Drosophila melanogaster: one gene and its partner. The gene in region 1 interacts genetically with each later gene. Each region holds a gene or a part of one and is shown in the gene's direction. Other genes may lie near its edges.

The links.
Region 2: of Tm1 (region 1) and br, changing one enhances a phenotype caused by changing the other (phenotypic enhancement), as found in Drosophila melanogaster (one study listed by BioGRID).

Annotation. Positions count from the first base shown.
Region 1 is NT_033777.3:15,279,832-15,283,760, forward strand, and holds the start of Tm1 (tropomyosin 1), read left to right. Parts: upstream 1-1,718; 5' UTR 1,719-1,772; exon of another isoform or gene 1,773-2,026; intron 2,027-3,929. UniProt on the Drosophila melanogaster protein: Tropomyosin, in association with the troponin complex, plays a central role in the calcium dependent regulation of muscle contraction.
Region 2 is NC_004354.4:1,610,263-1,614,191, forward strand, and holds the start of br (broad), read left to right. Parts: upstream 1-2,078; 5' UTR 2,079-2,541; intron 2,542-3,394; exon of another isoform or gene 3,395-3,683; intron 3,684-3,929.

The DNA of each region.
Region 1 (3,929 bases):
CGTATTTAGCAAGTTGCTCAGACTGTTTTGCTATTTTACAATGTTTTTCGACGTTTTCTCAAGGGTCTTTTCCATGTCTATGTCTTCTTTGTTTTTTTTTTTCTTTGTCTTTATAAATATATTGATCTAGTTTTCTTGCTTCGAAAACTTTTTGTTTTTAATGAATACAATTACGTCATTTTGTGGGTGTTGTTTGAGTTAATTTTAAAATTTTCATCAACCTCGGACTGGCAAATGTTCTCCAAGATAAGAGAACAACAAAAAATGGAATAAGTAAATACATATATGTATATATGTTGGGGCTATCAAATTGGCTTATATTTATAGGTTTATATTTAAAGACTTTAGTTGCATTCGAACATATAAGATCTCCAACAATTTTGTTGGCGATAAGATTAAAAGGGCGTGATCAACGAGTAAGCAAGCAATCTAGAAGGGCAAATATGCATATCACCAGATCGGAAACTCAACGATTATGGGGAAACTGAATTTCAACCGTTTTCACGTTTGCAATTTAAAAAAGCATGAATCATGGATGCATTTTCTTGCGAGACAGTTACAAAAAAACGTATACTTTCATATGTGACATTTATGATTGCCAGCAAAATGTTTTCCGTTCGCAGACATGACGTTGAAAAATCTATAGAAAGAGCTTTAATATATAGAGCAGAAAATAATAATCTGTAGACCTATGGGGGAAATACGTACGTATAACTACGTGAAACAAGATTTTTTGGCATATCAATAACTGAAAATTAAAAATAGAAGTTGAGAACATCAAAAAGCAAAACAAAACGATCCCCAAACCAATACACTCTCATCGGGAAAAGAGACACGATTGCCTAAGTATTGGATATATTTTGCAATGGGCAAAAACACTGGGTGAAAAGAGCTTTTCAAAATACGGGGAAATATTCAAAAATAGGCTGAAAGAAAGGCATTCGATTCGAAATGAGTGAGCATTACCCATACATGTGCAGCGAACAGGTGAAAGCACCAAGGAAAGGATCGGAAAAGAGAGGCAGAGAGAAAGCGGAGAGAGAGCGCAGGCGCCGGGCTTGAATGTGTGTGTATAAATTGTAACTGTATTTGAAATTCTGATCTTATGCTTTCCGTTACACTGGCAGAAATCGGATAGGAACATAAATTAAATATATTACGGGCTGAGGGGTAAAGAAATGTTGTACAGCTTTCTTAACTGGCATAGCCCATTTCACTTTGGAGTATTTTCTGAATGAAAAAAACATTTAATATAATTTATAAATGAATTTCAAAATTCAAATTTGTAATAACAAAAGTAGCATGAGTAAATGATGATAAATGATAAGTGCGACATAAATTTATAAATACATTAAATCAAAAGTGCATATTAAATGTCCTGATATTAGAAAGCATGCATGATTACATTAAATATGAGTATATAAATAAGAACAAATGCACCCCTTTGTTGATTTCGCGCAGTGTATAAGCTATTGTACCCCGGCCGAGCAATTTACCGATGCTCTTGGGGTAAATTGAGAGCCAAGTGCAGTTCCAAAGTAGGCGCAGACAGCAACAACATATGCTCGCTTTTGGCCGAAAAGTGCGCACTCTCGCACACAGATACTCACGCACACAGGCGCACTAGCGCGGCGGCTCACACGCACACACACCAGCGCAAGCCGCTCGAAATCGACCAAGCGGCGAGCATCGAACGTCAACATATTGAATAAATATTTTCAGTTGAACATCACAATCCGTTCAAGTCGCGGATAACTCCGAATAAAAGTTTTGTAAGTAAAAAGGAATACGTTATCGTTGATCAGTAAAAAATTATACAAAAAAAAATACAAAGATATCGCTGAATATTTCCACAAAAATACTTGTCGAGTGCTTCAAAAATAATTTTAACTGTGCTAGAATTCGATTCTTATTTAAAAAAAAGGATCGAACCAAAAAGTATAATTACATAACCACAACGTTGCTGCAATATCTAACTTAAAATCCACCAAAGTGCTGTGCAATTCTCAACCCTAATCATCCGCAAGTATTGAAAAAAATTGAAAATTTTCCCAGTTAGAATCGAAATAAACCCAAATAGAGGTTAAGCACCTTTGCAGATCGCGAAAAAAAAACTAAGAATAACGATTCTGGGGACCTTGTCAAGTTTGTCTGCTAACCGCAAGTTGCTATATAGGGTTTCAGCTAAACGTATTTCATGAGATATATAAACATGGTCAGTGGGAACTTCGAACGATCTTAGATTTTAGCGGCAGAAGTAAAGAATTAAGGCAAAAGGAGGATTATCGAGCTCTCTTTCCTCCTTTCAGAAACTAAAATTGTCATGTTGTATATGAGAAAGTAAGGGAATCATTCTTAAGATAAAGATCAATGAGATAGACTTCAAGATAGCTATCCTTGCTATGGAATGGTTTCCTGAATTATAATTTTCTTTAATCCAAAATGTTTAGGAATTCATTGAGCCTATTTTCCAAGTAACTGGGCAACACGCGCATTTACTTTGCAGTTTTGTATCTTTGAAATCTGATCCACGACCGCTGGCCCTAGCTGCCAAATGAATCTGAAGCGAACGTAGGCGAAATGCGCCAAGAATTTCCCAGAAAGCTCCCTTCCTCTCAGCTTAGTATTAAGTAATATCCGTGGAGAGGCTAGATATTCAACAGATGCCTCGGCTGTCCTATTTTTAGATACAATCCGTGTGTGCTACAGATACTAAACAGTGAAATAGAGAGCAGGAAAGCTGCTAGAGTATCGCCCAAGGCATTTGGCTAAAGAATCTATATGCATTAGACCCATTTGAACCAACGTGTGTATATATCGTACTCTAAGAATAGAAAATTCTGTATTCTGTATGATTAAATTCCGAATTTTCCATGCGATAATTTGTAAATTTTGTGTGGAAAGGTAGATCTTATAAGGTCGGATACAGATGGAAAATATCTGTAACTTGTAAACTAGGCAGAAAAGTAGGAATTGCGAGGTGCCAGTTCATAAGGATGGCTTGTTAGTTGGCCATAGTTAGTTAGATATAAAAAATGAGTTATACATATACGCATTTTGTTTCCTGAAATATTAACTTTGTTCCTAATGATAACGTCATTTCTTGATAAGGATGATCTTAATACTCATAAACCTCTTTGGTGTAGGCCCATTTTTCGATTATATATATGTCATTGCCGAAAGTTATAAGATGTCATGGGAATTTTGTGCTGAATCAACGCAAACATAACTCAATGTGTCACCTTAATCGACTTATGGCCCATACACATGCAGATTTATATATATATATATATGTATATCTGTGTGTTTTTTAAGCGAACAAAAAATTTGCCTCGATTGCGTTTTCATTAAAATTCAACGTTTTTTTTTTTTGGCTTTGGCTTTATTCGATTGGCGCTTTTTTCTCCAATGCCACTTCTCTTCGGCGGATCAGGCACAGGAATGTAAACAGAGTTTTTAAAAATAAATGCATGTTTAAGGCAGAACCACACAACAAATGACAGCGATGAGCCGTAATAAAGAATTAAAATTTCACGCGGCGAAATTCGAGTCAATTAGCCGCCGGCTGCACTCGGTTCGAGCCATGACAAATGTTGGTCAAGTGGGTTTCGTGTTGGCCAGGAAAGGCAAAGGGGGTGTCAATGGGCACCAAGGAGGGGCCAAAAAACCCACCAGCTGCGTTCACATTGAGTCAGAAGTCTGGAGCTGCTCGAGAAAAGGGGCAATAGCCCAGTGCAGCTGAGTGATTCATCTTGGGTTTTTAATTCGAGGATGGTAGCTACAGCATCTGCACTTTACTGATAAGAATGCAATTCCAAGATAAAGCGCACATTTGTAAATATAAATTGATTTGAGTAAACATATATGGCACCTAAGAGTATGCAATGATATATGTTAGTTAAAAAAATATATTAAATGAGCTTACTATC
Region 2 (3,929 bases), on another chromosome or scaffold:
AGATCGACGTCGGCGGATGGAGATGGCCAGTGCGTGAGCGGGAGCGAGTGACTGCGGGTGACTAACCCACTGCAGTTTCAATTAGAACAAACGACATCGACAAGTTCAATGTGATCATTTCGCCTTCGCAGTCGCTGTTTTCTGCCTTCTGCCTTCGACGTCGGCGTCTACGCCGTCAGGTTGTTGTCGAGGTTGTTGGCTGCCTGCGACTCCGTTTGCGCCGCCTAGAGGTTAATGCCGGTTGTAATTGCAAAGCACCCAACCCGAAACCGGAGACCCAACAAAGGAGCGGAGCTTAGAGCGACTACAGTGGTCCCTGCCCGCGCGACTCGCCTCTTTCTGGCTAATCTGTGACTCGGTGACATTTGCGATGATCTTGAAACAACCATAAACCGAACGAGACGCAGCAATAAAGGCATTATGGGTACGTAGGTAATGTTGTGTATATGGTACGTGTAGATACATTTATACGTTTATGAATCGGCAAGAGGTCACTGCAGACAGGGAAACCTTAACAAAACAACACTCAAGACAATTCTTGAAAAATGCTAACGTGAGTGCGAGACCAGCAGAATTAAAAAACCAAAATCGCCACGCATGAATCTAAAAAATAAAAAAACCAAAAACAGCTCATAAAAATATCGGCGACAACAACAAGGGGATGCAGCAGTAAAATAAAAACGCTGCAAAAACAATTAAATTCGGACAAAAAAAAAAACTGGCAAACAAGATGCAAGTGGCAACAAGTTTCTCAGACTCAGTCGCTCAGTTTCTCCTCAGGGCCAGCAAATCTTCGCTCTGCAGTCTTCGGTCTTAAGTCTTTGTGCGTGCCAGGAGGTGGGGCGGGGGAGCAGGGAAATGGGAATCTGGGTTATGGCAAACAGGGGAGCCATGTAATAAAATGCGGTAATGGTAATGGTAATGGTAACCAAAATATTAAACAACTCTTCACCAACATCAGCAGAAAATGCAATTCCAAAGGGTGACGCAAGGGAGGGAAGGCAGGGGAAGGCCCTAAAAACAGGCCGACTTTGGATTTGGGTTTGCGTTTGGGATGGGGCTCGAAATGTGGGCTACACTTTCAATTGGAACCCTCTGTGGGGGTATGGTGGGAAGGGGGTACAGGCGGGTCGTGAAATCGGGCAATTCCGAGCCGAAGACGCACGACGATATTCTGCCTAAAAAAAAAAACGCTCCGATCGCCGCCGACTTTGTGTGCGTATGTACCGCTTTCTGTATCTTTGGAGTTACATAGGGGGAAAGTTGCATATTCCCCTACCCGTTCCCATTCCCCTTACCCCTCTCGCTCCATATCACTCTATTTACAATTTGCCGCTGCCGATCTGCGGATCTGCCCCAAACATTCGCGTTTGTAATTGCATCGGTGTGTGGGCGGCGCTCGTTGATTCGTTCGCTCGCCGACGACTTTGCATTTCATTTCCCCCAATTTTGTCGGCCTGACAATGAATAAACAAAACTTCTAAATGGGCAATACCAGAAAACACAACAGAATATACGGACAGCAGAAAAAAAAATAATAAAAAAACCACAACCACACACATGGAACCCCCGAAAAAAACGCAATTTTCGCTTGCTCGGCTTCGCCGCCGTCGCATGCGCAGAAAATTTGCTCGTTTTTTTGGCGACTGCGCTGCAGGCAGCGCTGTAAACTGCAGCGATCGGATCGAGTTGATCGCAGAACGCAGATCGCAGATCGCAGATCGCACTGCTGCCGCTGCCGCCGCCGTCGACGTCGCTGCACTCCAAAAAAGCGAAGGAAACACACAATCGCACACGAGAAGTATATAACAAAAAAGCGAGCAAATAAGGCAAAAAGTAAAAAGTAAAAAGCAAGAAGCGAAAAAAGCGAATGAAACATACAGGCGGCATAAGTATATACACACACACACATATATATCACAAACACTGGTGCACAGCGAATTCTCTGATTCAATTGGGCAGACGCACACACTCGCGCACACACCAATACACACGCACACTGGCAGAGGGCAGCGGCACAAGCCCAACACATTTAACTGCATTTTTTCGGAACTCAGTTGAGCTTTTTAATTCGATCGGTTCAGTTACTAAAGTTAGTTCAGCCTAAACGCACAATTTCAATTTCCATTTCTAAGTTTGAGCCCGAATTGAATAGCATTAGTGCCCACCCCACGCCTACCCTCGCACCACCGCACCAACGCACCACAGCAGTATCCAACACACACACGAGGACTGGACAATTCCCTCTGTTCTATTTTTTTGTGTTTTTTGTCAAGTGCACCCAAGCAAAGACCAAAGGACGCAAACCATCTAGTGCGCGATTCGCGCGCGTTTTGAATCAAAAGAATCTAAGAATCCAAGAATAGCTAAATCACTGAATCGCAGAATCAGGAGCGGAAAAAGCGAAAGCCAACCCCAAAAACCCAAAGCCCCAAAAGTTCAAGTGAATAATCAGTGTGCATCCCCAAGTAGTCGACCCAATGAAGCGCCGCCATGAGCAAGGATGCACCTACTGAGCGCAACTACAACCGCACCATCCAGGTAAGGGTTTCCTACATCCCATCCGACCCCATCCGCTTTGCTTTGTAGGGCAAACCGAACGTGCTGGAAGCTCCTTGATCTAGGGGCAGAGGGAGCCTAGCATCCAGATCTATATCGACATACACACACACACACATCCATATTCTCACACACGGTTGCAGGTACAGATACACACTGAAATTTGATTCGGATTCGTGGCCCGATCCATAAGAAGGACATTTGAGTCATCCGATGCAGCTGCCTGCTCTCTCCCTCTCTGCCTTTGGGCTCGGCTCTCCTCATTAGCACTTTGATGAAGAGTCACAAAAGCGGACGGACCGGGCCTAGACCCCTCCCTTCGAACTGTCCAAAAATTTCGGTGCATCTGCATACAAAGGCACACAAAGACGCACAGAGTGTACGGATACAGATACAGATACAGATGCAGCTACATATACATATACAGATACAGACACATATACTGTTACAGATACAGATGCACTGCAGGAAGCAGGGCAGCACAGTAGCCTCAGTCGCCTCTTTCAGCCCCGTTTCAGCTTCTCCACCCCTGGACTCTGCGCTGCATTGTTCCACTTCTACACTTCCACACTTCCCCACTTCCCCACTTCCCCACTTGTCCGCTACCCGCCACTCCTCGCTTTTTCGGCTGCAGTCTGTCAGTCAGACTGAGGCTTCGTGAAGCTCACGGCCAAGGCGAAGGCAGCTGAGGATCTGCACTCGGCCGAACACGAAGGCCGGTTGGGCAGGGTTCGGGAACGATCGAAAGCCAGCCCGAAACGGCGGAACTGCAGTTTGCTGTTCAGCGTCGCACTGAGCAAACGTCGTGTGGCAGCTCATCGCCAATTGCGAATTGCAAACTGCAAACTGAGTACCGTAAATCGCTCGCGCAAAGTGCAAGTCGCGCTGAATTCGCAAGTTCACATAATATCGGCATCCGCATATCCGCATATCTGTATATCTGCACATCCGCAAGCAGCTTGCTTCCACGCCAATTTTGTTTTCGTTGCGTTTATATTTTTTTTTCTGTTGATGTTTCTCGTTATATACATAGTATCCTTTTAGCAACCCACTCAGGCTTTTGCTGATTCTATTTCGATCGCAATCGGTCTCAGGAATCAATCTCAGGATTAGCTCTACGGCAGGTAAGTCACGTGAGGAGCGGTGGTGTTTCTGAAACTTTTGCTTTCAATGGGTTTGCTTCTGGAACTGGGCCAACAGCGAGACTCAAATGGCCAGACAGGCACGCAGTCAAGCGGTTTGGTGACAGGGTCCCCACTACTCCTGCTGCTTCTCCTGCTCCACCCACCGATCTGTAGGAAAGGTGGTAACGCCAGCTTCTTCTTTTTGTTCTCCCAGTTGTTAGGGCGACCCAGACCCAGACCGAGACC